4 linked regions of the Stegostoma tigrinum genome follow. The protein of the gene in region 2 binds, or shares a complex with, the protein of the main gene of each other region. Links are inferred from orthologs where the notes say so. Each region holds a gene or a part of one and is shown on either strand. Other genes may lie near its edges. The genes, in order: mks1, b9d1, tmem231 and tmem107l.

Region 1 (7,174 bases), on a different chromosome or scaffold from region 2:
GAGGTAGGGAGGGGATAGGTCAGTCCAGGGAAGACGGACAGGTCAAGGAGGTGGGATGAGGTTAGTAGGCAGCTGGGGGTGCGGCTTGGTGTGGGAGGAAGGGATGGGTGAGAGGAAGAACCGGTTAGGGAGGCAGAGACAGGTTGGACTGGTTTTGGGATGCAGTGGGTGGGGGGGAAGAGCTGGGCTGGTTGTGTGGTGCAGTGGGGGGAGGGGACGAACTGGGCTGGTTTAGGGATGCAGTAGGGGAAGGGGAGATTTTGAAACTGGTGAAGTCCACATTGATACCATATGGCTGCAGGGTTCCCAGGCAGAATATGAGTTGCTGTTCCTGCAACCTTCGGGTGGCATCATTGTGGCAGTGCAGGAGGCCCATGATGGACATGTCATCTAGAGAATGGGAGGGGGAGTGGAAATGGTTTGCGACTGGGAGGTGCAGTTGTTTGTTGCGAACTGAGCGGAGGTGTTCTGCAAAGCGGTCCCCAAGCCTCCGCTTGGTTTCCCCAATGTAGAATAAGCCGCACCGGGTACAGTGGATGCAGTATACCACATTGGCAGATGTGCAGGTGAACCTCTGCTTAATGTGGAATGTCATCTTGGGGCCTGGGATGGGGGTGAGGGAGGAGGTGTGGGGACAAGTGTAGCATTTCCTGCGGTTGCAGGGGAAGGTGCCGGGTGTGGTGGGGTTGGAGGGCAGTGTGGAGCGAACAAGGGAGTCACAAGGATCCTCCAACACTTCCGCCATTTACAATCCGACCCCACCACCCAAGACATTTTTCCATCCCCTCCCCTGTCTGCTTTCCAGAGAGACCACTCTCTCCGTGACTCCCTTGTTCGCTCCACACTGCCCTCCAACCCCACCACACCCGGCACCTTCCCCTGCAACCGCAGGAAATGCTACACTTGTCCCCACACCTCCTCCCTCACCCCCATCCCAGGCCCCAAGATGACATTCCACATTAAGCAGAGAGTCACCTGTACATCTGCCAATGTGGTATACTGAATCCACTGTACCCGGTGCGGCTTCCTCTACATTGGGGAAACCAAGCGGAGGCTTGGGGACCGCTTTGCAGAACACCTCCGCTCAGTTCGCAACAAACAACTGCACCTCCCAGTCGCAAACCATTTCCACTCCCCCTCCCATTCTCTAGATGACATGTCCATCATGGGCCTCCTGCACTGCCACAATGATGCCACCCGAAGGTTGCAGGAACAGCAACTCATATTCCACCTGGGAACCCTGCAGCCATATGGTATCAATGTGGACTTCACCAGTTTCAAAATCTCCCCTTCCCCTACTGCATCCCTAAACCAGCCCAGTTCATCCCCTCCCCCCACTGCACCACACAACCAGCCCAGCTCTTCCCCCCCACCCACTGCATCCCAAAACCAGTCCAACCTGTCTCTGCCTCCCTAACCAGTTCTTCCTCTCACCCATCCCTTCCTCCCACCCCAAGCCGCACCCCCATCTACCTACTCACCTCATCCCACCTCCTTGACCTGTCCGTCTTCCCTGGACTGACCTATCCCCTCCCTACCTATACTCTCTCCACCTATCTTCTTTACTCTCCATCTTCGGTCCGCCTCCCCCTCTCTCCCTATTTATTCCAGTTCCCTCCCCCCATCCCCTCTCTGATGAAGGGTCTAGGCCCGAAACGTCAGCTTTTGTGCTCCTGAGATGCTGCTTGGCCTGCTGTGTTCATCCAGCCTCACATTTTGTTATCTTTAAAGGACACCAGCTGTGTTTCTGGATTAACAGTCTAGTGATAATACCATTTTTAGGACGAATAACAGAAGTTGCTGGAAAAGCTCAGCAGGTCTGGCAGCATTTGTAAAGAAAGCAAAATCAGAGTTAACGAATGCCCCTTCCTCCTTTTAGGACATCGCCTTCCCATACTGAAACAGCAAAACATTTTCTATTCTTTTATCCTATATATGCCACAGCTGAATGCTCCAACCCACATTAATATGACCTACCACCTCACTCTACACAGTCCTCAGACATTAAACACAATCATTCCCCGTCCCTACATTAATGTCATTTACAACAAAATAATTAATTATTCTCACAATGGGCCCTGACCCTGCGTTTGTCTCACTCCTACTCCTGCCCCCAGGATATGCTATTCTCATTCCACTCCACTCCAAGGGGGAAATAATAAAAAACCCTTCATCCCGCCCCGCCCATACCGGATTCGGAGATTTTTCACCGGGTCGAGGGTCCGGTAAACCGCCTCCACCCGCTCACTGCCGCACTCCGCCATAGCCGCGGTTTCCTTGGTAACGGAGCAGGCCTCAGGCCTCCTGCAGCTCGTGTCGGAGCGGATCCCCGCGTCAGCTCCAGCTGCGGGCTGTGCCCCAGCCCGGCTCAGGCAGCAGCGGTCGTGGCTCTCACGTCTCCCGGTTATCAACTGTACAAACGCTGTAAGTCCCGATAATTCAAGCTGACATTTCCATCACTGTCCCTCTGCAGATGATTATCTGAAAAAGGGTCCAGACCCGAAACGTCAGCTTTCCTGCTCCTCTGATGTCGCTTGACCTGCTCCGTTCATCCAGCTCTACGCCTTGTTACCTCTGCAGACCCTTCTCCTCGTCGACCACCAACTCAAACTGCCGTAACTTGCACAGTCTGTCTCCCCAGAATCGTTCACTCTTTTTGGGTTTGGCCCAATCACATAAGATGCCCTTCTACAAGGGCACCAGCAATTAGCGTTCACATTACAGAAAAGGAAATTTAGCAAACTAAAGGAGAATATTTTCTCTTCAGTGGGTCCAGTGTTCCAACAGTACCCAGGGCAAATTCAACCATACCCATGGCTGTTGGGTGCTATTTGGTAGCAATCATTGCTTGTATAGAATCACACTTGTACTTCATAGTATTTACAGCCCAATCATTTTAAGTCTTTATCTCGATCAAATGCATCCCCCCCCCCTTACTTCATTTCAACTCATCAGTTTAACATCAGTTAACCTGTCTCCCATATGTCAACATACATAATTGGAGGAGTAGGCCACCTGGACTCTTGAACCTGCTCTGTCATTTACTAAGATCATGTGTGATTGCAGTTTAACTCCACACGATTGCTTAAAATGAGCCATTGCACTTTATTAGCTTTATTTATTTCTCCAAAGATACTGCCAAACCTGCTGAGTATGTCCTGAATGTTGTTTTAACATTATCACATTGATTAAAGAATTTTCCCCAAAATTCCTTACTAAATTTATTAGTTTGTCAGCCTCCCAACTCACAAGGCGGTTGCTTGCACTTTGGTGGTCAACTCTGTTAAACATCACTTACTGTGATGCAGAAGTATTACTCCAGCACAGTAGGCTCGTCCATAATCGCTCAAGCCAAACAGCAACACACCAGGGAATTCCTGGAAGCCTGGTATTCTAACCAAACTCCATCAACAAACACATTAGTTTGTACACAGGGTCTAATTCACTGAAAAACACAGCTGGAAGTGGTACCAAACACCCCAACAAACTGAGACATATGAATAACAAGCCAGACAGAAAACCAACACTTCACCAGAGGTGCACTGACGATATTATCTAGCAGGGTGATGATACATTTGCAACCAGCCCACCAGTTCAGCAAGCATGTCTACAACTTCATCCACAACCCAAGATACAGATCTTGTCGAAAAATTTAAACTGTAGTCTCTGCCTTTAAAAACTTGGTTTTCCCTGGGCCCACTTCTAGGCTAGCTGATCTTCCCATTTCTTCTCGCCTCTTCTGCTTTCCCTCTGAATAATCATCCTCAGCACTCAGTGGCTGTCTCCTAATTGCCTACATCAATGTTTGCTGTTTTCATTTGTAAGTATGTTGTTGCAGAGGTATGGACATCCAGCAGATGTTCATACAGTGACTTGGAGATAGTAAAGACTGCAGATGCTGGAAGGGTTTTAACCGGAAACATTGACTTCCCTGCTCCTCAGATGCTGTGCTTTTCGAGCTCCATATTTATTGAGATTAGACTCAATGTCCAGTTTACCACATAAGTCATCATCTATCCAACATCATTACCAAGTCACTACAGATTTTTGGTAATGTGTATATCTATCACAAACCAGGATCTCAGAGTCAGTGATTTTTGTCTTGCCAAGAGATGCTGAGGATACAATTGGGACAGCAGTTCCTCAGCTTTTAACCCTGCCTACCATAAGTAGTCCTGATCTCACTACTATACAGGACTTCATAGAGGTCACAAGCTTAGAAGATTTGCAGTTTGGTGTTGTCAAATTACTCTAGTTTTACGCTATATTTATGAATGGTTATGTTGTATTTATGGCCCTGTATTTTGGATTATTCCACAAGTGAAAATATCTTCTCCACCCCATTAAGCTCCTTTAAAATCTTAGGCCTCAATCCAATCACTTCTGAATCCAGAGAAAAGCTTGTTTAGTCTTCCATGGTAGTTGTAACCTTTCAGTTCTAATGCAAAATAAATCCTACAAGAATACATCTCCAAAAGTTACTTTACACTCCTTTTGCAATAATGGAAACCAGATATTTGCCCAGTATTCCAATATGTGGTCTAAATTTCAATACAAATCTAACACTAATAAGTTAATTAAATACAAAAATATAAGCTCTGAACCTGAATGTTTTATTTGCATTTTTAGAGCTTTGTTAACCAGCACAGTTAATTTTCATGATTTGTGAATTTATACCACATTAACTTATTTTGCAAGATAACTTCCTTATTTTTCCTACCAAACCACAGCACCTTACACCCATCATTTGTCACTTACATGCCCAATCTGCACGTTACCATTTGTTATATTTTATCAGTATAAACAAAACCTCTAATTTGGTGGTAAACATTTATATAAATAATAGATAATAATAGTTGCAAACAGCATTCTGTGGAACACTAGGTTGTCAGTCTGCTCCTTCAGTTCCTAACCTCAATTTAGTCAGGAATCCACTTTGGTCTTTTGAAATCTCAGGTACATTGCACCAAACTGCATTAACCTTGCCTATTGTGTCTATGTGGGGTGGCATATCACATTACAAATCGCAAGTTTAAATTTACCAGATGTATTATAATCACCTAGAATATAAGAAGTCAAAGTATAATAATGCACTTTTTAATGCATTGCAACACTTTATTTTCACAAGCATTTCAAAAAGCAATCTAAATAGTCATTTAGGTTTTACAATATGAAAGGCAACACTTCCGAGGTAAAAAAAGTATTTTTAAACATCATGGTTTGCATCTTTAGCAAATTTCTATCACTGAGGCACGCCAGTGATTTGTTTCTGTCTCCATATTCATGAACAGGAGACAGATTTTGAAGTCAATAACACAGCAAAGGCAATAGGAGAGAATCAGCACTCATTTTATAGTGCTTCACTAAATATCAGAAAATAACTTTCAGTAAGTGCTTTATCCTAAACAGTGGAGTTTGCAAATGGCCATAATACACAAATACTTTAAAAATATACACATGTGCTTATACCAATTGCCAAGGCTGGTGCTTACCATTTGAAAATTTTAAAAGAAAATATAAACATCTAACTGAAAAACTATTGTTTAGAATTTGGGATATCCAATAGAATCAAATTGGTCATTTTGTAAAACTGAATGCTCTATAAGTGGTGTTTCTAAAGTCTGCCACTATGAATAGAGTGCAGTCTAAGCACCATATTCCACCTGACAATGTATATATACCCTTCAAATCATTTCTTTGGAGCGTCATACTGCAAAAGCATGACAAATTATTAACATTCTTTCTCCATGGCTGGGCAAATTTACTTGAGGCAAAAAAAAGCCGGAAATAGCACTTGCAATAAAGTTCAAAGTTTTTCTTAAATTATGAAAGGAATTTAATTACATTTTTGAATCATTTAAAACAGAGTTCAAGTGATTCACAAATTAATTATTAATATTGGCTGCAATGCAAAAAGATGTATCATACACTGAGTGCATGGACTTTCCTTAAGCAATGCCTATTGCCTCTCTGAACTAATACTAATGAAGGCTTTTTATACAGACAACATTTAGAATCCCTCATCAACATTTGTGTTGTCTGAGATTGAAACTCAACTACTTTTCCAAACAAATCAGAACTATCAGTATTTAACTTAACGATACATGTTCCAGTACAACACAAAAATGAATTGTCCATCATATCATAGGAAAATTAATTTACTATAATTCAAACCTTATTTTGAAAAAAAAGTGAGCCTGTTTGAATGCTCCAGAACATTCTGGCTGGTTTCCATTCCATTGCACAAATGCCATAAATACAAAGCAAACTTTACACATGTCCTGGACTAAAAGCAAACAGTAACAAAAATGACAGTTACCTTCAAATAGAGCAAGCTAAGTGGAATAGCAAAGAAAAATATTCAATGTACAAATTGATCAGTCTATTTAGCTCTTTGTATTCAAAAATATAACTCTTATGCATTTTTCTTCAGAAATTACAATCTTTTAATAGGTTTCACATTGTCCTGGCTTCACTTCCATGAAAAGCAAAATCTGTATCAACAAGATAGGTGTCTCCATATTGTAATTAGGAAATCTCTGTTCTTCAGAAACTCTGAAAGAGAACCCAGTGGTTAAAAGATCCACTATATAAAAGGAGCAAGAAGCTAGGTACATAATCTCCACTGGGCTGGGGAATTGGTGGGATGGGGTCTGTGGATGAGATACGGTAAGAGGCCATACTGTAAACATACTTGCCTTTTTCATATAAAGGACATGTCTTTAACACTTTCAAGATCCCCCCCCCAAAAATGAAGCTAAAACATACAAATTATTCACTGGGGCATGTGCTAAAAGTTATAATGTTAGGATTAAGAAGTAGTGAAGTGGAATACAGATGCAATACACAAGGACAAAATACTGAATTAGCCAAAACAACACTATGCAATATGTAACTGAAATTTGGGGTACTTACAACTTCAATTGCTGGATGGAAACAGGCAATAAGCTATTTCACATGTTACCCAACTTTTTTAGTGAAGTTGAAAGAAAAGAAAGGTAGATCAAGCAGGTCTAAAAACAGGTTGCCAACTTACTATAACCTGCTTTTCATTTGGGATATGTGAGAATTAACTAAATTGAGACAGTGAGTAGCTTTACCTTTGAGTTGATCCATGAAAGAGGGAGGGTTACATTAAGAAAAAAACATTTTAAGATAGAATGAGACAAGTAAG
Region 2 (7,903 bases):
AGGAAAGACTTCGAGAAGAAAAATGTGTACTAAATATTAAAATACAATGTAGATGATATGCAAAGAGAGGTTTTTATTCCAATTCCAATCTTCACCTGTAAAATTAAGTTTCTTTCAGTCAGTGTCATTCTCATGGTAATAAAATTCTCAGGAAATTTTGGTGTACCACATAAATCTGTAGTTCTATTTGTTTCTTACAGACCAAAAGATGTGGCATGAAAATTTCATGTATTAACCCCTACACTTTACTGAGAGTCTAGTTACACCTGTAGAGTGTCAATTTATGATCTTTCTGAATGATAATTTGTCTACAATGCAAAAAGCTATCTCATTAGCTAAAAGACATAACAGACTTAGTTATTGTAAATGTCAGGAAAGTGTCCTAAACCATTCAATTATTTCAAAACAACATTTCTAAAATTTATTTTCTACAAAAGAACATTTTGTACACAACACAGTGTATAGAAACTGTTGAAAATCAACAAAAAGCACACTACTTCACAATCTTATTAACAATTTATTTAAATTAGATAGGCTAGGGGTGTAGTTTCTGGGGTTATTTATCTAGCAACAAAAAAACCTCAAGCAATTTATTTCATTTAGAAGTATTCTTACAATAAATATTTGGATTAACAAAAATAGCACAATCATTAAGGAGTTCAGTAGTTTATAATGACATCATTAAGAGTGCATCACCACTGAGGTGACATTTCATTTAAATTTATGATTTTAATTAGCTCCTATAACATAAGAATAGTGCTACAAGGCAGCTGTAATTCTGGAATGACTCAATATCCAAGGATATCCAAGAATTCAAATTATATTACATTGGAAAAGCACAGAATTCAGACTGTCATTGTAACTAAGCTTGTAGTCATTTATTAATTATTATAGGATTAAATGTTTATCCCACAATGAGCTGAACGAACTAACATCAACACTTACTGTTGTTGGAGCCCAGTCATGTCCATACACATAGGAGTATTTGCAATACAGCTCATCAAACTCTGGAAACTGGGGAAAAAATAATTTGAATTAAAATGAATAAAAATTGCAAAACTTTTCAAATGCTGATATGCTTGGTTTTAAAGTTTCACATTCAATATTGGTGAGATTAGTATGTTTTGAAATCAGAGACCCACAAAATATCTGCAATCAAATTAGTATTTTTATAACATCAGTTAACAGCATGCAGGAATTTGAGTCTTTATCTCATGAAGGCTTTAACAGAATCAAAATTTTCAACCAGGAGAAAGTTACAAAACTGCAACATACAGATAGAAATACAAATTTTGTTAGAAGTCTGGCATTGCGACTTATTCACTGTCATATAATGAGACAATAATTAGAAATAACTTTCTCCTGGGTTGAAACAACAGTTTATATCTGAAGGGCTGAATATTATTTGGAGAATAAACAGTTTTGTTGCAATCTGGCTACTACAATTTCAGTGCAGTCAGTCAATGTTTGAGGGATCAAAACATCCTTACAACAGGGGTCAACTTAAACATATAAATTAAGCATATGGGTTAGTGCAGGAAGGCACATTTCTGTTGGTCTGTTGCCACATGAGGTCTGTGTTAGAGTGTCTTAAACTCCCATGCACATTCATGGTAACACACTCCATTTTGCCTGCTTGGTCCTATACTTTGATGTTTCGGCTGGTAGAACCTTAATTTGTATTTCTGAGCTGAAAACTGAGCCTTGCTCCTAATGCAAAACAAAGTACTAAACATGCACTTATTAGCTAAAAAAAAAATGGCAAATATAGGTCTGAACTTAAACTTTGACTCAAAAGAGTTGACTTCAAGGCCATTTTGTTACAGTACTAATCTTTTCTAGGGTTCACCTTCATATCAACATTATAACTGTTCTTCCTAGAGTCTGTTTTGACAGCAGCACAGTCATTGGAGTGAGACCATATTAAAAACTCCGAATGTTATCACCCTCTTCTCTAATCTATAATTGGTAATGCATTCTTTGAATAAACTGGAAAGCTCTCCCAAAATGTTTTAATTCAAATTCAGTGAATGTTCATTTTTTATAAGGAGGTATTAAGGCAGGTGAACAAAAGTTTACTCAACAGGCAAGTTTAAAAGAAGGAACTGCAGAATGGGGAGGGGGAGCGGGGGCAGTGAGGAAATCTTTCAGGGTTAAGGACTTACACAGTGGAATACGTGACCACAGTGATGATGTTATTAAAATAAGACAAGCTCAAGACCCCAGAATGAAAGCAGAGTTCCTATAAGACGAGCTGGAAGAAATTATTTAAATAGGAGAAAAACCCAATATGGAGGGATTTGAAAACAAGGAGATGTTGATTAAGTGGGATAAAAACAGAAAATTCTGAATATACTCAGCACGTCTGGTAGCCTCGGGGGAAGAGAAAAACTCCAGCATTTGCATTATTTTTCGTTTCTTCGATGGTTTAACTGGAACCAAGTCTGCAAGAGAGGGTGATGGCGAAGTGCGGACCATCTGTTTGCGAATGTGTTGATCAGGAAATGCGGCAGTTAAGATGTTATTCCGACTACCAAAAATGATCCCTTGGCAGATACACCAGATACCCACACTAAATGTTTCTCCCTTAGTCTAAGGGAGGCGTTCAGAACTTGAGCTCTGCATTGCATGTACTATAATAGCTGGTTTACAAAGTAACGAACGGATATTCTTTGAAATTGGTAACTAATAAAGGATACTCTTTGCAACTCGCCACAAGGATTCTAAAGCGCACTTACTATGGGTTGGTTGCCGAGGGGATTGCCGCCAGCAGGCCCGGGACACATTCACATCCAGACTGAGTTTCAGGATAGAAACTGGATCATACAGGCGAAACACTCAGGGCATAACATCCCTCTTACATTGAATAAAAGCAATGCTTACATCAGCGCTTTCGATCTGCCCGTTGACCATTAAAAGGAACACAGACGGTTTTCCGGACAGCATGTTTCTCAATCTTACGTGTTTATCCCACCGACTCCCAGCCTCACCATCTCCAGGACGACGCCCGTCACTGTCTTTGCGCCTGCGCGGCATGTGATTGGCAGCAGCTGAATTCCAGCCCCAATGCCGGAACCTCTAACTCATTTTTCCGAACGTGCATGCTGCAAATCTGGAGCAGTCAAAAAAATTAAGGTCAATCATTCTTAAAACCCTAACCCTATCATATTTGCTAAATTCTTAAATGTGAAAAATGAACTATCACCTTTTTAGACCGTTGTGCTAACGAAGACAGCTGCTCTGTTGAAACAAGTACTTGGTTCCTTGCAGTGTACAGGATTGAAATGCTGCTCTTGAGTTTCTGTTTTCATCGTCATCGAGCAATAAAGGCAAAGTTGTCTTGTAAATTTGTCCAGTGTGTTGTTTTGCTTTATGCGCATCCATTAAAGGTTAATGAATAAGCTCAACTAGATTGTACCACAAATTCTTGTTTTCAGTATTTGTTTCTTCTGACAAATGTTTCTAAGGTTGGTCATCCAATAGCTCTTCAGTCATTATAGAAATTTTTAAAATCCCCACAACCCATGTAAAGACAGTGGCTTCCTTCCTGTTGACAGTATGAAAAAACCTCCTATGTCAACATCTGTGATCTCAATGGATTCTTTGTCCTTTTGAATTCCATCATGAATTTAGAGTTCTTCAACAAGGTTGTTTTTCTACAGTTGTTCTTTTGGAATTAGTTGAAGTCCTTCAGTTACTGCAAGGATGTTCAGATTAAGATACTGTAATGACTTAAAAGTGAGGCTTGTGAATAACATAAATATTTTCAATTATCATATGCTTCTTTATGCAGTGTTACTTCTAGAATACCTTCATGCTTTACAGTTATTTCACTTGCATCATGTAGTTTCATCTCAGTATCTGTACCTGCTGTTTCTTCAGCAATAATATGAGTGACAGTCACACCTTTATAAACTTTAAAATTGATGGATATCCATGAACATGCAGCATGCCAATGTGGGTCAGTTGAATCACCAATTTCACATAGGAATGCATCTCTTCTAATCAATCAGGTACATTGTCAAACAAGAGTATCATTTTGAAAAAGGAGGTTCTAAAATATGAAGCTGTTTGTGCGAGTAAGCATTGGCTTTTTGCTGCTTTCCAACTGTATCCTACTTCTGCACATTTTCTGGAAGCAATTAACAGTTTTACAAATGTAGCATTCTTTCATTTTAGCTAGACACGCTCATGAGGTTTTTTGTTCCACCATACAGATAGTGACTCACAGTATTTGCTGTTAGTGTACATTTTGTGTTTATTTGTCACGTCTGTCTGTAGAGTGTTCATACTTCTTAAATTAGACTTTGTTGGTCTCCGATGGCAAGGTTTTCCTGTTCTCTTATATTATATCAATAAACCCTTCCTGATTTCTGCTTCCAACACAATTTGAATAGCTTTATTCACAGTCAAATCTTCTTTCGATTATAATAAATCTGACAAAGACTCATCAATAATTCCAACAACAATTCTGTTTCTTATGAATTCAGATTTCAATGCTCCGCAGCCAGTTTTCCACTAATCTATAGAGATCATAATAAAATTGTTAACGGATTCTCCTGCATGCTGAACCTTTTTGTCAAACATTGGAATTTGTTCTCAGATTAAAGTAATTATAGGTATTAAAGGCATTAGAACTTCTCAACGGTATCTGTCCCTTAAATTAGATTTGATTATTTTTAACATCATCAGCTGTTGGGCCTTCTGAATAGAATAGTGTACTTGTTCGTTCAGCTTGAGATCTGTTATTTAATTTTGAAGCAATCGTGTATCTTAAGAACTGTGTTCGCCAAGATTCTGAATCCCGTCATCCTTGTTTTGCCCATCTTGTCTGAACAATAAGATATAGTTAATTGCATGATACCATTAGTGTAATTTATCTTGATTTGGTAAGCATAATTACAAAGGCTTTCAGGAGCTGCAGGTGGCACAGCAGTCTAAATAGGGACCTCGTAAATTGCCTATTCTCTATTCAGACTGTGTGATATCGTCAGATTGGGATGAACCTCATCAATAAATCTTTCAAAACCACTATCTTGTACAACAAAAGAAACATTCAACCCAGCCATTAAAATTTGAACTAAACAGCCAAAATATTGAATGTGACTAAGGGAAGCATGTGTATGAATGTATTGGATAAATTGTAATTTGATGACTGGATGCTGTGTGTTTAAGGGTAGCATTATAATTCCAAAACTAATGCTGAGATGGGCCTTAAGGTTGAATCATTGACTGACTTAATCAATATCACTATAGCAGATTTGCTGGTCATTATGACATTGGTCACATTTTGGGAGTTAATTGGGTACAAACTGAGTGCTACATTTTCCTTATTGCAACAGTGAATGCACTGGAGTGGTTATAGCATTTTGGGACATCCTATGGATGGGGAGGGCAGTGGACAGTAACACACTTTTTTTTCCATTAGTTATAGAGTCATAGACTCGCACAACACTGAAACAGACCCTTCTGCCCAACCAATCTGCACTGACCAGGCATCTGAACCTGACCTAGTACCATTTGTCAGCATTTGGCCCACATCTCTCTAAACCCTTACTATTCATATACCCAGATAGAGCCTAGACAGAGAGAAGAACAACTGGGCAGACAAAGGAGTGTAAAACAATCAACCTAGGAAACTGAATAGCTACTACTGGGGACTATTATTATTTGATATCTAATAAAGGTGTAGGCTGTTTCTTTAAGCTTGCCTTCAAAGTTTGGAGTGCTCTTTTTGCTAGACCATTGGATCATGGATGGTATGAAGCTGTCCTTATATGTTGAATGCTAGTCAACTTGAGGACATACTCAATACCTGCTGGTAAACAATGGTCAGTTTTCTGTGGCCAATGCTTCTGGCAGTCCATGTATTGCAAAAGATGTGCGCAGTTTTTTTTATCATCATCCCCATGTTTAATTAACTAACTCTATGCACATTTGAGTGGGCATCCAAAATGACTGAGAACATTGAGCCCATGGAAAGACTTGCATAGTCAACAGAAATCAAGTCCAGGGCTTACCCAGCCATTACCATGAATGTTTGAGAGGTGTTGGTGGTAGTTTTTGTCCTTGTGGCACTCTAGGTACTACCCAACCAATGCAGCTATATTTGCCTTAAATCCTGGCCACCAGATATAACTCCTCACCCACATTTTCATTTTGGAAACCCCTGAATGACACTAGTGGAGTTCAGCCAGTATCTGATGGCAACCTTTGCTCAGGACAATCATTCTTGCTCCTCATAATAATATGTGTCATCTCCTGTGATCTGGTCTCTCCAAGTCCAAAAAGATTTCAATACTGGTTGTAATGGACCTTTGGCTTCCCCCATCAGTACTAGCTGTTTCAGTTTTGTCAGGACCAGATTTGTTTTGTGTCCCAAGTCTGATATTGTCAGCTGTGACTGGAAGCGTGTCCAAAATATTTAAAACCATTACAGATTGTTCCAGTGATGGCACCACTGGTGGTGTATCTGCCAGCAGGAGGCGGCTCAATGCATCCGCACTTGTTACATGACATCCCAGACAGTATTCCAAGTTGTAATCATACAGACTCATTTTTAAAGTCCACCACTAAATTGAGTCTGAAGCTATGGGCAGCACTGTCTTGTACTCTATATGTAAACCTAGTGGGAGTTTGTAGTCTGTTATTATTACAAATTTATGTTCGTAAAGGTATTAATAGAACTTCCTGACTCCACACATGACCACCAAACCTTCTTTCCCTATCTGGGCATACTTACAGTCTGCATTAACCGAGTTCCTGCATGCATACGCTATTGGGCATTCCTCTCCATCATTTCACGCACGAACTAATTCTACCCTGATGCCATATACAGGGAGGCATCACATGTCAATACCAGATCTCATTTGGGATCCTAGTGTGCCAACAACATAAAGGATGACAGCTATTTCTTCACTTTCCTGAAAGCCAAGTCTTGGCTACATCACCATTTGCAAGGCTGACTCTTGTCAGAGTGTTTTTTTCTTTATTCATTCACGGGATGAGGACATCATTGGCTAGTCAGCATTTATTGCCCATCCTTAATTGCTCAGACGGCAGTTACAATTCAACCACATTGCTGTGGGGTATACAAAGTATAGAGCTGGATGAACACAGCAGGCCAAGCAGCATCAGAGGAGCAGAAAGGCTGATGCTTCATGCCTAGACCCTTCTTCAGAAATTTCTGAAGAAGGGCCTAGGCCTGAAACGTCAGCGTTCCTGCTCCTCTGATGCTGCTTGGCCTGCTGTGTTCATCCAGCTCTACACCTGGTATATCTTGGAATCTCCAGCATTTACAGTTCCTACTATCTCTGACACATTGCTGTGGGTCTGGAGTCACATGCAAGCCAGACCAGGTAGGGATGGTAGTTTCCTTCCCTAAACAGTATCAGTGAACCAGATGCATTTTTTTGACAACCGACAATGGATTCACCATCATCATTAGATTCTTAATTCAGGATATTTATTGAATTCAAATTCCACCAGCTGCCATAGCAGGATTCGAACCTGGGTCCCCAGAACATTATTTGCGTCTCTAGATTAACAGTCCAGTGATAACAACGCTATGTCATTGCCTCACCCTAATTGATGCAAAGGTGCCAGGTTGGAGGCCAGGTCATGTATGAACTTTCCATAATAATCCACCAGCACATGGAAAGACATAAGCTCCAGAGCACCTCTGATCACCCTCACTTTATCTTCAAATGGGTGTAATGTCTAAGGACTATGTCCAAGTTCTGTAAGTGCTCTTTATTGGACTTTCCTGTTATTAGCAAATCATCTAGATAAATGGTGACCTGGAGTAGACCTTGTAAAATGTCCTCCATTGTCCACTGAAAAATTGAACAGGCTGACAATACCCCATATGGCAGCTTTTTTTTTGTCTATTGATACAAACTCT
Region 3 (7,665 bases), on a different chromosome or scaffold from region 2:
AATCCTGAAAACATCTCCCAAATAGTATTGTGGGTGTGCCTATCAAAAGAACTGCAGCAGTAACAAAAGCAGCTCATCACTACTTTCTCAAGGGCAACTACGGATAGGTAATGAATGCCGCCCTAGCTGGTGGCTTTCACATTACATTAATGAATAGACACCGAATGTTAAATTCTGTCCTATTGGAGATGGTCATTGCTTGCCACTTGTACTGTGAGATTGTTACTTACCACCTATTAGTTCTAGTCTGCAATGCTGCATATGGGCACAAATTATGAATAATTCTGGACATTTGTTCACTGATGATTGCACGCTCACTTTTAACCCTGTGATGGACAGAAGGTCACTGATGACACAGTGAAGGTGTTTGAGATTAGGACACTAGTCCCGGGAATGAGATGTTTGGCCTCTAACAATTACAACCTTTTCATGTATGACTCCATTCAGTGAAGAGCTTGCTCTCCAGTTCCCACTGTACCCAGTTTTATTCAGGCTCCTTGATGCCTTACTGAGTTGAATGTTGCCTTCATGTGAAAGGCAGTCACTCTCAATTCACTTTAAGTCCAGTTCTTTGTTCATATCTGAATTAAGATTGTAATGACATCAGGAGCTGAGTGGCCTTGGCAGAATCCAAAGTGAACATCAGTGAGCAGATCATTGCTGAACAGGTGCTACCTGACAGCAACAATTAATTACAGCAGCTTTGTTCTTCCCAATATTAGTTGGAGGAAATTTCTCTTCAACATGTACTTTATATCAACCAAGCAGTCTGGGAATTTTTAGACAGCATGAAGGGGTCATGACAGATAGTAGTGGGCTAGAACTGGGTTCAGCAAGCAAACATGCAGAATCTCACACCCTTTTCAAATGTGTCACCAAGTGGCAGCACATGGATAAAAGAAATGAAAAAAGGAGATAGTAAGAACTGCTGATGCTGGAGTCAGAGCAGAAATGCTGGAGTCAGAGCAGAAAAGCTGATGTTTCAGGTCGGGAGCTTTCTTCAGAAATCTGAAGAAGGGCCTTGACGCAAAACGTCAACTTTCCTACTCCTCTGATGCTGGCTGGCCTGCTATGTTCCTCCAGGTCCACACTGTGTTATGAATATTAGGAGACTGGGAACAGGAAGTCATGCAAGTGATTTGCTGGCTATAATTAGATAGCTATAATTGTAACCAGGCAAGTGCAATCCCACAACTGGATGGCATGGAGTGATGTTACTGGGGAATGGCTTGGTCAACCAGACAAAAGATGCAGACCGGTAAAGAAGGACAAGAAGAGATATTTTGCCTATCCATATCCATCTCAATTTCACTAAACATAGCCTATCACTCCCACATTCAGACATTCTGAATGTCAATTTTGAAGACAACAATCTCAATTTCAGGAGATCATTTATTTTACTTTTTAGGGTATCTAGTGGCATAGTGGTCATGGCAGTGGACCAGAGACTCAAGCTAATGCTCTCTTGACCTCATTTTAAATCCTACCATTGGCACTTGGTGGCGTTTAAGTTGAATTCATGAATCTAGAATTAAAAGCTGGTCTTGGGGTGACCATGAAACTATCATTGACTTTGTAAAAGTCAATCTAGTTCACGAATGTTCTTCAAGAAAAGAAATCTGGCATCCTTACCTAGTTTGGTCTACATGCGAATCCCTGATGTGTTTCACTCATAATTGCCCACTGAAAAAGGCTAGCAAGTCACCCAGTTCAAAGACAATAAATGCTGCCCTTGCTAGTAATGTACAGATCCAATGATAGAATTTTACAAAACTGTAAAATGGTTTCCAATGCAGAAGCAAAATGCGTTCAAATTCAGACAACTATTTACAAGCCTCTACCCATTCATGAAAAAATACCAAACAGAACATATAAAAGGGAGCGAGAGTAGCTCAATCATTTATGGGGAATCTTCCATTCCTATTCCACTTTCCTGCAGTTTCCCCATATGTATTAATAACCAAAATCTATTGCCATTTTAACACCACCACATTCCCAAACCGATGTCTCAGGCTTGCTCCAGCAAAGCTCAGAGCAAGCTCGAAGAACAGCATCTTATTTTCTACTTTATCACATGAACTGCCACCATATACAATCCACTTTCAGCCACTAACAGTCTCCATTAGCAGCAATTGATTCTCCCAGGCTGACCTTTACCCATACTTCTGTCTGCCTATCTATTTTTCCCTCAATTTCCATCTCCATCTCCATCTATCATTCACTCCTCACTCCCCACTCCCCACCAAACAACCAAACGTTAAAACCTTTGACTGCAATGAAATTTCACTTCAAATCAGTCCTTCAAATATTCAAACCTCTATTCTGAGGTGGTGATTTTGAACTCCAAACTTGCCAGCAAGGGGAAATCATCTTCCCTGCACTGACCGCATCATATCTCTTTAGGATTTTGTATACTTTAGTGAGATCTCATTCATTTAAATTCTAGTTAACACAGACACAACCTATAAATTATTCTTCTAGGAAAACCCCTCATCCCGGGAATCAGTCTAATTACCCCCTAAAGCAAATATTTACTTTCTTTGCTAAAAAGATCAAAATTACACAAAATTCTCCAGTAATGGTCCCACCAAAGGTTCCATAAATCGTACTATTTCCCTCACAAACATAATACGTCATACAATTAGCTTCATTTACACCAAACCGTAGAAACAACAATAAAAACCACATCACTCAGATTTCTAATTCGAACATATCTAAGAAAGTATTTAAGTAGGCCAATGGTCTGTCAGCAGACTGAATTAAATCTCTTACCATGACTCCTGAAGGCAACCAAAAGCGGCGGGATGTACGTCAGCGCCACGACTATCAATAAGAACAACGTAGCTTTGGTGAAAATGCTTGTTTTGTAACGAATTAAAGACGGGTGCGAATAAACTTCGTAGATGGCCATTGGTAGCCGAGTGTTCCTGGAGAAACCACCACTTCGATTCAAGTTTGGCGTCAGCTTCCCAGGGCAACTGTCGTCAGGCCGCGCGGTGAGAGGCGGGGCTATCGCGACTGATAGCGGTACCGCCCAATCACAGGACGACAGGGTCCGGCCTTCGCCGAGATCCATCCAATCAGAGCTGGAGGGCGATGTCGTTCCCCCCCCCCCGCTCACCCCGACCCGCAAATCTCATTCAGAACTCTGTGATAATGGGAACTGCAGATGCTGGAGAATCCTTGATAATAAAATGTGAGGCTGGATGAACACAGCAGGCCAAGCAGCATCTCAGGAGCACAAAAGCTGACGTTTCGGGCCTAGACCCTTCATCAGAGAGGGGGATGGGGGGAGGGAACTGGAATAAATAGGGAGAGAGGGGGAGGCGGACCAAAGATGGAGAAAAGAAGATAGGAGGAGAGAGTGTAGGTGGGGAGGTAGGGAGGGGATAAGTCAGTCCAGGGAAGACGGACAGGTCAAGGAGGTGGGATGAGGTTAGTAGGTAGGAGATGGAGGTGCAGCTTGGGGTGGGAGGAAGGGATGGGTGAGAGGAAGAACAGGTTAGGGAAGCAGAGATAGGTTGGACTGGTTTTGGGATGCAGTGGATGGAGGGGACGAACTGGGCTGGGATGTGTTGCAGGAAATGCGGGAGACGCGGTCAAGGGCCACTGTGGGGGGAAAGTTGCGGCCCTTGAAGAACTTGGACATCTGGGATGTGCGGGAGTGGAATGCCTCATCGTGGGAGCAGATGCGGCGGAGGTCCTTCAAGGACCGCAAATTCCCCCCCACAGTGGTCGAGAACGCCCTTGACCGCGTCTCCCGCAACACATCCGTCACACCCCGCCCCCGCCACAACCGCCCAAATTGGATCCCCCTCGTTCTCACACACCACCCCACCAACCTCCGGATACAACGCATCATCCTCCGACACTTCCGCCATCTACAATCCGACTCCACCACCCAAGACATTTTTCCATCCCCACCCCTGTCTGCTTTCCGGAGAGACACTCTCTCCGTGACTCCCTTGTTCGCTCCACACTGCCCTCCAACCCCACCACACCCGGCACCTTCCCCTGCAACCACAGGAAATGCTACGCTTGCCCCCACACCTCCTCCATCACCCCTATCCCAGGCCCCAAGATGACTTTCCATGTTAAACAGAGGTTCACCTGCACATCTGCCAATGTGGTATACTGCATCCATTGTACCCGGTGTGGCCTCCTCTACATTGGGGAAACCAAGCAGAGGCTTGGGGTCCGCTTTGCAGAACACCTCCGCTCGGTTCGCAATAAACAACTGCACTCCCAGTCGCAAACCATTTCCACTCCCCCTTCCAGTCTTTAGATGACATGTCCATCATGGGCCTCCTGCACTGCCACAATGATGCCACCCGAAGTTTGCAGGAACAGCAACTCATATTCCGCTTGGGAACCCTGCAGCCCAATGGTATCAAGTGGACTTCACCAGCTTCAAAATCTCCCCTTCCCCCACCGCATCCCAAAACCACCCCAGTTCGTCCCCTCCCCCCACCGCATCCCAAAACCAGCCCAGTTCGTCCCCTCCCCCCACTGCACCACACAACCAGCCCAGCTCGTCCCCTCCCCCCACCTCATCCCAAAACCAGTCCAACCTGTCTCTGCTTCCCTAACCTGTTCTTCCTCTCACCCATCCCTTCCTCCCACCCCAAGCCGCACCTCCATCTCCTACCTACTAACCTCATCCCACCTCCTTGACCTGTCCGTCTTCCCTGGACTGACCTATCCCCTCCCTACCTCCCCACCTATACTCTCCTCTCCACCTATCCTCTTTTCTCTCCATCTTCGGTCCGCCTCCCCCTCTCTCCCTATTTATTCCAGAACCCTCACCCCATCCCCCTCTCTGATGAAGGGTCTAGGCTCGAAACGTCAGCTTTTGTGCTCCTGAAATGCTGCTGGGCCTGCTGTGTTCATCCAGCCTCACATTTTATCATTCAGAACTCTGCTTGATCGTTCTCAGAATCGTAGGTTCGTCCATGCGCTGAGGGAGGCAATTAAGACCGTAATGTCTGTGCTCGCTCTCTGAAAAAACAAATCACTCGAGTGCTAATCCCCACTTGTTCCATGTACAGTTCCTCCTTTTTCAGATAATAAGATTAGATCACATGAAATACAGGGAGAACTAGCCATTTGGATACAGGAACAAAAACAAAGTTGCTGGAAAATCTCAACAGGTCTGGCAGCATCTGTGGAGGAGAAACCAGAGTTAACGTTTCAGGGTCCGGTGACTGTTCTTCAGAACCATTTGGATACAAAGATAATTGGAAGTTGACAAAGTGTGGAGCTGGATGAACACAGCAGGCCAAGCAGCATCTTAGGAGACAGAACTGGTTCAAAGGTATACTACAGAGGGTGGTGGCAAAGTGCTGCTTTTCAGAGTTGGAGTCCCAGTGATGTGCCACAAGGATTAGTGCTGGGTCCATTGCTTTTCATCATTTATATAAATGATTTGGGTGTGAAGATAGTTGGTAGGGTTAGTAAGTTTGCAGATGACACCAAAATTGGAGGTGTAGAGGAAAGTGAATAAGGTTACCTCAGATTACAGCAGGATCTTGATCAGATGGGCCAATGGCCTGAGGAGTGGCAGATGGAATTTAATTTAGATAAAGGTAAGGTGCTGCATTTTGGAAAGGCAAATCAGGGCAGGACTTATATGCTTAATGTAGCCAGTGTTTTCCCCGGGATAGTTGAATCTAAAACTGGAGGGCTTAAGTTTAAGGTGAGAGGGAAAGGATTTAAAAGGGACAACTTTTTTCTCACAGAGGGTGGTGCATATATGGAAATGAGCTGCCAGAGGTAATGGTGGAGGCTGGTACAATTACAACATTTAGAGGGATATAGGCCAAATGCAGGCAAATGGGACCAGATTAATTTAGGATATCTGATCAGCATGGATGAGTTGGACCAAAGGGTCAGTTTCCAAACTGCAGCTCTATGACTCTGTACTTTTTCATTATAACAATCTAAATTGTGCTTGAATGCATCAACTGAACCAGCTCTTTACCATTGTGGCAGCTCACACAACTTTACCTCCAGTTACATGTAAAAGATTGTCTTCAAGTCACCACAAGTTGTCATTTCATCAATCACCAACAATCACAATTGTTCACTTACGGAATTCCATGTCGCTGTTTATTGGTCCTGTGAATTCTTGCATAGCTAATAAATCCAATCCTAGAACTTCCTGTTCTACCACACATTTGGTAGATGTTTTTAGGTGATGGAATTGGTCCTTGGCTTTGAGGTCACTGGCACTTCTTTCTTTAGTTAGTTTCCAGACTTCCTCCCGCTGATGGGTGTTCTCAAAGAATTGTGCCCATTCAAATAGGACCTTCCTCCAAGTCAGTTGCTTCTAAACAAAGGTCCTTCCATACATTGACATATATGATGTATTTCTTGGGGTAAGTCTTCAGGGAGCCTTTGAAATGCTTCCTTTGTCCTCTTCTTGCTCAAGTGCCTTCCTCAAACTGGGCAAAGATGATTTGCTCTGGCAGTCAAAGCTCAGGCATCTTAAGCGAGTGGCAGTCCAAAACAGATGGTTTTTGGATCATCGTGGTCTTGATGCTGGTGTTCTTGCTTCATGGATGCTGATGTTAGTTCACTTGTCCTCCCAGCTGATCAGAGAATCTATCTCAAACAGCATTGATAGTACTTCTCAAGGACCTTGAGTTGGTGTTTATACATTGTTGAAGTTTTGGAGCCAAGTAGAACAGTCAGAAGGATGACTGCATTATACAGAAGGGTTTTAGTATCAGCGCAGATGTCACGGTCATCCATGTCATTGATGTCAGCCATAGATGACAGCTATCTTCCCAGGTGGGGGAAATCTTCCACATTTGGGAGGATTTCTCTGTTGTTCTTAATGGATGGATGGACAAGAACTTGACTTGCGACAGGTGATAAAAGATTTGAGTTATCTTTAGGGTGAGGCTGAAACCAATTCTTCAGTAAGCTTCCGTGAAGGCATTAAGCAAGGATTGAAGATTGTCTTCTGAGAGACTGGAGATGACATTGTCAACCAGTTGAGTTGAAAGTTTTTCATCCACTTATAAACAATTTCCACACCACTGGGAACTTTACTTTTGACAAGATAAAGAATATCACCAGGGATATCAAAGGGACTGTCTTTAGCTAATTACTTGAAATATGTTCTCTCTGGTTCTCAAACTTCTTTTATAGTGCAATTTGATGGCGCATGGGGTTTAGGCTCAAGACAGGTTGGTCAAAGAGAAGGAAAAATCAAGAACTTGTCTTCAGGCTTAGATCTCAAAGCAACACAATTTATTATACTTTTAAATTACATATTGCTATATGTGGTAATCATTGATATACCAGGCTCTGATCTTAGGTAATGTCTAATCGTTTTTCCATCATAAACTCACGAAGATTGATAGCACAGGAAGAGGCCCTCTAAGTCTGCACCAGTCAAAAACAATCACCTATCCATCTTCTCTCCTACCTATCCCCCCGACTCATCTCACTGACCAATCCCCACCACTGCCTACCTACGCTCACCTACCACCATCCAACCTACCTCCCTCGTCTCACCCCTCCTCTCTGTTTATTTCCCAGCTCCCTTCCCCATCCTTATTTCTGAAGTAAGGTCCCAAACCAAAAACATTAACTTTCTTGCTCCTCTGATGCTGCCTGGCCTGCTGTATCCCTCCAGCTCATACTGTGTTGTCTGTG
Region 4 (7,200 bases), on a different chromosome or scaffold from region 2:
GGAGGCCCAGGATGGACATGTCGTCTAAGGAGTTGGGGGAGGTGTGGGGGGGGGGGGGGGGGGGGGGGGGGGGGTTGGTGAAATGGTTCACGACTGGGAGGTGTAGTTATTTGTTGTGAGCTGAGCATAAGTGTTCCACAAAGCAGTCCCCAAGCCTCCATTTGGTTTCCCCGATGTAGAGGCAGCCAATACGGGAACAGCAGATACAGTATATCACATTAAACAGATGTTCACCTGTTTCTGTTAATGTGTAAAGTCTTCTTAGGGCCTAGGATGGGCGAAGAGGGGGAGGTATAGCAGCAGGTGCAGCACTTGCTTTGGTTGCAGGGAAAAGTGCCGGGGGCGGTGGGGATGGAGGGGAGTGTGGAGCAGACAAGGGAATCACTGAGAGAGTGGTCCCTCCGGAAAGCACATCCTGGTGTGGAGGGAAAAATACCTTTGGTCGTAGAGTTAGATTGCAAATGGTGAAGATGTCGGAGGATGATGCGTTGGATTTGGAGGTTGTTGGGGTGGGACGTGACGACGAGGGGGATTATGTTTTGGCTATTATTGCGATGCGGGTATGAGAGATGAGTTGCAGGAAATGCGGGAGACACGGTCAAGAGCATTTTCAATCACTGTGGAGGGGAAGTTGCGGTTTTTGAAAAAAAGAGGACATCTGGAATGTTCAGGACTGAAATGTCTCATCTCAGGTGCAGATGTGGCAGAGGTGAACGAATTGGGAATAGGGGATGGCCTTTTTACAGGAAGGTGGATGAGAGGAGGAATATTCTAGGTAGTTGTGGGAGTCGGTAGGCTTAAAATGGATATCGATTTCCAGGTGGATGCCAGAGATGGAGATAGAGGTCCAGGATGGAGCGAGACGTGTCAGAGATTGTCCAGGTAAACTTAAGGTTGGGATGGAAGGTGTTAGTGAAGCAGATGAGCTATTCAAGCTCCTTGTGGGAACACGAGGTGGCACTGAAAGTCAATGTAACGGAGGAAGACATGGGGGATAGGGCCAGCGTAGCTTTGGAAGAGGGATTGTTCCACGTACCCTGCAAAGAGGCAGGCATAGCTTGGGCCCATGCGGGTACCCATGGCCACCCCCTTTGTCTGAAGGAAGTGGGAGGAATTAAAGAAGAAGCTGTCGAGGGTGAAGACGAGTTCGGATAAGCGGTTGAGGGCGTCAGCGGAGGGGCACTGATCAGGTGTGCAGAACAGGAAGAAGTGGAGGGCTTTTAGGCCATCAGCATGGGGAATGCAGGTGTGTAGGGACTGGATGTCCAGAGTAAAAATGAGGTATTGGGGACCAGGGAATTGGAAGTTCAGGAGGAGGTGAAGAGCATGGCTGGTGTCACAGACATAGGAGGGAGTTCCTGGACCAAGGGGGAGAAAATGGAATCCAGATAAGTGGAGATAAGTTTGGTTGTTTTTGATCCAAGTTTCTACCACTTAAACTGAACGCTAAATTCTGCCATATTATCAGGGCGATCACTGTTTCCTTGGGAAGTTTTACCCAAATCATTCATTATACACATTACCAGACTTAAAACAGCCTAATACCTGGTTAGATTCACAACATTTTATTCTAGGATACACCGTATGAATTTTTCCTCATTGTCACCCTCTGCTAATTTGATTTTCACAAACCAGAAGAAGATTAATTTACCCACAATTAGAGGGATCCCTAATTTATGAACATCCAACTTACAAACATTCATATTTTAAAAAAGTGACCCCATAAAGGGGTGTAATTTTAAAGATCTGACATATGGAGGGTTGTAAATTATCTGAAGTCACTCAGGGGATATAAAACAATTAACACTTGCAGTAATCCTTCAGCAACCATATCTCTGATGAAGGGTCTAGGCCCGAAATGTCAGCTTTTGTGCTCCTGAGATGCTGCTTGGCCTGCTTTATTATCTTGGATTCTCCAGCATCTGCAGTTCCCATTATCTCTGATAACATCGACCACTCTATTCACAGCTAACAGTATTGCAACAACCTTACTGCCTCCACTGCCCAAAATCCTCCAAAACCAAACTCCTAACTAACATGAACTACTCCTGACTTAACACATTCCTAACCAGCCCTGAGATTCATGGTACACCTTCAACCACCTGACACTCTAGCCCGTGTCCCATTAATATCCGGCCTGCTTCACCTATCTGCCACCCCACTCGTTCCAACTCATACAGTATCCTACCTTACTCATTTGACACCCTACCCCTCCTCTATCTGACATCCTATTCCCTCACCAACCTGGCCCCATCTCTTCTTCACTCATTCTTGAACACACTCATCACCTGTGAATCTACCTTGTCTCCCGCTAACCTTACTACGGCCGCCTACACCCATCCATTTATCTTATCTACCTTTTCTCCGCGATTTTTCAATGCAGCTTTCAGATATGTAAACAAACTAACTTACTAAGATACGATAGTTACTGCCACAAATAGGAGGCAGGTCTAGCTTCTACCGATGATCCGAGAGGCGGAGGGTTCACCTGGATCGAAGTTCTACTACGCATTGCGGAAGCGTTGGGCATGGGAAGTCAGAAACAGTAATACGGGCCGCGGACGCTGGACAGGATAGTCATTGGCAGAGGAAACACTCAATGCTGCTGCTGTTCTCGGAAGAGCCGAGCCTATCGCCGCTGGTGCCTTAAACAAAATGGCGGCAGGTTGCCAAGGTAACCGCGGCTCTTCACACCGCAAAGCCAAAACAGGAGCATAAATAACGACATCATCCTCATTTCCGAATCTCCCTATCCCGCTGGGCAGATCCCCAACACCCCATCTCACCGCCCAGATTCCCAATTCTCCTAATCCTCTGCCAAGTCTCTCTCCGCCTCCGCTTCAGAAACGACGGCCAGCGACTTAACTCTACGCGCTTGCGCACTGGGGTTTCTCCCGCTTTCTAGTCCGCGTGACTATGTTAGAGATAATGGGAACTGCAGATGCTGGAGAATTCCAAGATAATAAAATGTGAGGCTGGATGAACACAGCAGGCCAAGCAGCATCTCAGGAGCACAAAAGCTGACGTTTCGGGCCTAGACCCTTCATCAGAGAGGGGGATGGGGAGAGGGAACTGGAATAAATAGGGAGAGAGGGGGAGGCGGACCGAAGATGGAGAGTAAAGAAGATAGGTGGAGAGAGTATAGGTGGGGAGGTAGGGAGGGGATAGGTCAGTCCAGGGAAGACGGACAGGTCAAGGAGGTGGGATGAGGTTAGTAGGTAGCTGGGGGTGCGGCTTGGGGCTGGAGGAAGGGATGGGTGAGAGGAAGAACCGGTTAGGGAGGCAGATCCAGGGAAGACAGACAGGTCAAGGAGGTGGTTCCCTCTCCCCATCCCCCTCTCTGACGAAGGGTCTAGGCCCGAAACGTCAGCTTTTGTGCTCCTGAGATGCTGCTTGGCCTGCTGTGTTCATCCAGCCTCACATTTTATTATCTCACGTGACTAAGTTGTCTGCTTCGCTTTGCATTCTGGGAAGATACCCACGACATTGACTACTTCAATAATTGAGGCGGAATTGGCCAATACTTCTTGAGCTGTGGAATGACTGGAACTATACCGAAAAGTTAAGATAAACCCCTTAATTCCATTTGCTGTTGTGGAAGTTAACAAAATTTAGGATCGGAACTCGCACAGCGCATAACAGAGTCATAGATTCACCACAATTTTGGAACAAATTACTGCAGATGATGGCAACTGTACTGAAAACAAAAAAATGCGAAAAATCACAGTGGAACAAAACAGAAGTTGCTGGAAAAGCTCAGCAAGCCTGGCAGCATTGTGAAGGAAACATCAGAGTTAACGTTTCAGGTCTGGTGACCCTTCCTCAGAACTGAGCAAGCTCATGTTTAGAGTCTAGGTGAGTTTTCATCATAGCCTTGAAGAGTCATCTAGACTCAAAAAATAGCCTTGCTCTCTCCATGGATGTTGCGCAACACATTGTGAGTCCAGCATTTTTTTTTGTTTGCAGTCATTGATTCAACAGTTCTGAAGAAGGGTCAGCAGACTCGAAACATTGACTCTGTTTTCTTTCCACAGATGATGCCAGACCTGTTGAGTTTCTCCAGAAAATTCTGTTTTTGTCACAGATCCACTTTATTATTCCAGCATAAAATAAACCAATGGCCTCTCAAAGCATTTCACTTATTTCCATTACTATGCACATTATGTGTAGGCAAAGACATTCTTCCTTTTCAATTACTATTCCAAATCCTTAAAAACATTGATTAAACTTGCAGCCACATTCTCAGGCAGCTCATTCCAGATCCCAGTCACTCATTGCATGTAACAGTGTCTCCTCCTGAATGCAAAACCTCATTTGCCAAAATTGCCTTTAAACGTTGCCCTCAAGTTCTATATCTTTCCATCAATAGGATAATCTTCTCCCTGTCTACTTTGTCTAGATTCCCCCAGGAATTTGAATGCCTCTACCAAATCTTCGCTTAAACCTCTCCAAGAAAGAAAAGTCCAGACATCTCCAATCTCTCTCTATAATTGAAGAAGAACCCTTTAAATGATTCATGTGAAACTTTTGTGCACTTCCTCAAATGCCTTTACAGCCTAATGTATGACTCCCATAACTGACTTAGATAAAAGGGACAAAGTCATGGTTTCTAAATTTACTGATGGCACAAAGGTATACAGGAAAGTAAGTAAGTCGGGTATAGGAAGTAAGAAAGCTATGAAGGAATATAGATAGGTTAAGTGAGTGGGAAAATGTCTGGTAAGTGGCAGATAATGTGGGAAATGATTAATTTCAGCAGGAAGAATAAAAAAAAGTATATTAACTAAATTGTGAGAGATCACAGAGTCCTGAGCAACAAAGGGATATGAGTGCTCCAATACATAGGATCGTATAATCCCTACAGTGCAGAGGCAGGCCATCAAGTTCACAGGGACCCTTTGAAGAGAATCCCACCCAGACCCACACTCCCCCACCTCATCCTGGCAACCCTGCTTTTCCCAAGGCTAGTTCACTTAGCTTGCACATCCCTGGACGCTATGGGCAATTTAGCATGCCAATCCACCTAAACTACACAACTTTGGACTTCAGGAGGAAACTGAAGTACCTGGAGGAAGCTCATGTAGACATGGGGAAAATGTGCAAACTCAAATAGACAGTCACCCTAGGCAACTGATTATCATGATTAGCAAAAGGTTAGCACACAACTACAGCAAATAATTAGGAACACTCATAGAATGTTATTATTTATTCCAAGGAAAATTGAGTACAAAAGTAAAGAGGTTATTCTTCAGTTATACAAGACATTGGTGACATCTGGAGTTCTGTTTACATTATTAATCTCCCCATTTGAGGAAGGATATAAGTGTGTTCAAAGAGGTTCAGAGATTGCTTATCAGATTGATAGGTGGATTGAGTGAGTTGTCTCACAAGGAAAAGAGGGCAGTTGATTCTTCTATCCGATGGAGTTCAGAAGAGAGTAAGTTTAGACTTACTTGATTTAAATACAAGGCAATAGGAGAAGAAAGAATAAAGAAGCACAAAATCACTTTGGGTGGTTGGGTGTCAATATTATTGCAGTAAAAATAACACTTCGCAAATATGGTTTCAGAGATAGTAGGAACTGCCGACGCTGGAGAATCTGAGGTAACAAATTGTAGAGCTGGATGAACACAGCAGGTCAAGCAGCATCAGAGGAGCAGGAAAGCATGTTCTACTATTTTAATGTGATCTCTTTCTTCTGTAAAATCCTCTGTGTTGCTGATAGCCAAGCTTGAGGAGACTTACATACAATCACATGGAGTTACAACTAGAGCACTGAAGTGCTAATCTCCATTGCTTTATGAGAGCAACATGTGTAGTTTTGGAGTGTCACTCATTCTATTGGCCCTCTGTATCACTGCATAGATGATTGCTCCTTGCATACTGATGGTTGGTGCTGCAGCCCTCAAGTACTCCAGGATAAATTAAATTAGATGTTCTGGTTCTGAAAACGAGTAAGAGGTCATTGCAGCAAAGTTGCTGGGTATAGTTAACGAAGCATTTTGCACTGAAGTAGGAATCTGTGAACTATTAGGACTAAAGACATGTTTTGAGAAAGAATCTTCAACAATCTAGCCTTAGTACCTTTTGCGCTGGTATATTTTGAGGAAGAGCTTGCTCTGCAACAACCTCAACAAGATGTCTTTCTTTCTCACTCACACACTCTCTCGATCCCCCAATCAGAGTGTCTCTCACACACTCCACCTCTGTCACACACACATTTTCACTGATTCTCTCTCTCTTATAGCACATAGTCACAATCACACAGCCTCTTTCTTCAACACCCCTCACCAACTCACACACAGTCTCCTTTATTTTCACACTCTCTCACTCATGCAATATCTCTATTTTACTTACACACAACAACATGCTATCTTTCAAACACTCATGCTTTCTTTCCTGCTGCAAACCTCACTTTCACCCAGCTTACCACCTTTTGACTACCTCCATTAAGGGACTGGCATCTGCATAGGAAGAAGAGAACCTTATCTTCCTCCTGATTTGCTCCATAACCCAGAATATTTTTCCCTCACAACCACAATTTAGGCTAATATCCCCTCTCCTCCCCCTCAAACAGAAGTTGAATTGTCACTGCTCCCAGTTTGCAGTCATCAGGCTAGATTAAGCTACTAATGTTTGCCTAGCTCACTGTTTTCCCAATTAGAGGTCATTTTCTCTCCCAAATGCACGGCTGGTAGGCTCAATGCCAAACCCATCAGCATCAAATGGGGGAAAAGAAGCAGCCTCTGATTGAACAAGCATCTGCTTTCAGGTTCCTCTGCCTGTACTTCCTGCATATAGAACACCAATGGTTGGTTGATTAAGACCGTTTGGGCAGACTGTATTGTTGTCCATACATCTGCTGTTGAACAAGCCTATTCATTATCCTCCCCACAGTTTATAATTCTTCCAAATTTCCTCTCATCTGCAAATTGTGAAATGGTGTCCTGTACACTAATGTTTATGTCATTAACACATATCTGGAAAAGTGACCGTCTCTGCCAATCAGTGGCCTATTTCTCAGAGCAACAGTAGCGCAGTGTTTAGTACTGCTGCCTCACAGCATTTAGGATTGGGTTCAATTCCAGCCTTAGGCCACCATCTTTATGGAGTTTACATTTCCTCCCTGTGTCTGCCAGGGGATATTCACCAAATAATCAGCATACTCCTCTCAGACTATATAAATGCTGATTTCCCCTT

Evidence for each region.
Region 1: b9d1 (region 2) and mks1 share a complex: the UniProt entries of both Homo sapiens proteins name them as parts of the tectonic-like complex. The link is inferred for Stegostoma tigrinum from reciprocal best matches to the Homo sapiens genes B9D1 and MKS1.
Region 3: b9d1 (region 2) and tmem231 share a complex: the UniProt entries of both Homo sapiens proteins name them as parts of the tectonic-like complex. The link is inferred for Stegostoma tigrinum from reciprocal best matches to the Homo sapiens genes B9D1 and TMEM231.
Region 4: b9d1 (region 2) and tmem107l share a complex: the UniProt entries of both Homo sapiens proteins name them as parts of the tectonic-like complex. The link is inferred for Stegostoma tigrinum from reciprocal best matches to the Homo sapiens genes B9D1 and TMEM107.

What each region holds. Positions count from the first base shown.
Region 1 is NC_081380.1:13,791,004-13,798,177, forward strand, and holds the start of mks1 (Meckel syndrome type 1 protein), read right to left. Parts: upstream 3,012-7,174; 5' UTR 2,265-3,011; coding exon 2,191-2,264; intron 1-2,190. UniProt on the Homo sapiens protein: Component of the tectonic-like complex, a complex localized at the transition zone of primary cilia and acting as a barrier that prevents diffusion of transmembrane proteins between the cilia and plasma membranes.
Region 2 is NC_081376.1:40,138,501-40,146,403, forward strand, and holds the start of b9d1 (B9 domain-containing protein 1), read right to left. Parts: upstream 3,019-7,903; 5' UTR 2,947-3,018; coding exon 2,884-2,946; intron 2,874-2,883; exon of another isoform or gene 2,787-2,873; coding exon of another isoform or gene 2,739-2,786; intron 1,015-2,738; coding exon 946-1,014; intron 1-945. UniProt on the Homo sapiens protein: Component of the tectonic-like complex, a complex localized at the transition zone of primary cilia and acting as a barrier that prevents diffusion of transmembrane proteins between the cilia and plasma membranes.
Region 3 is NC_081369.1:41,520,830-41,528,494, forward strand, and holds the start of tmem231 (transmembrane protein 231), read right to left. Parts: upstream 3,002-7,665; 5' UTR 2,912-3,001; coding exon 2,773-2,911; intron 1-2,772. UniProt on the Homo sapiens protein: Transmembrane component of the tectonic-like complex, a complex localized at the transition zone of primary cilia and acting as a barrier that prevents diffusion of transmembrane proteins between the cilia and plasma membranes.
Region 4 is NC_081385.1:39,294,981-39,302,180, reverse strand, and holds the start of tmem107l (transmembrane protein 107 like), read right to left. Parts: upstream 3,013-7,200; 5' UTR 2,413-3,012; intron 1,789-2,412; exon of another isoform or gene 1,694-1,788; intron 1-1,693. UniProt on the Homo sapiens protein: Plays a role in cilia formation and embryonic patterning. Requires for normal Sonic hedgehog (Shh) signaling in the neural tube and acts in combination with GLI2 and GLI3 to pattern ventral and intermediate neuronal cell types.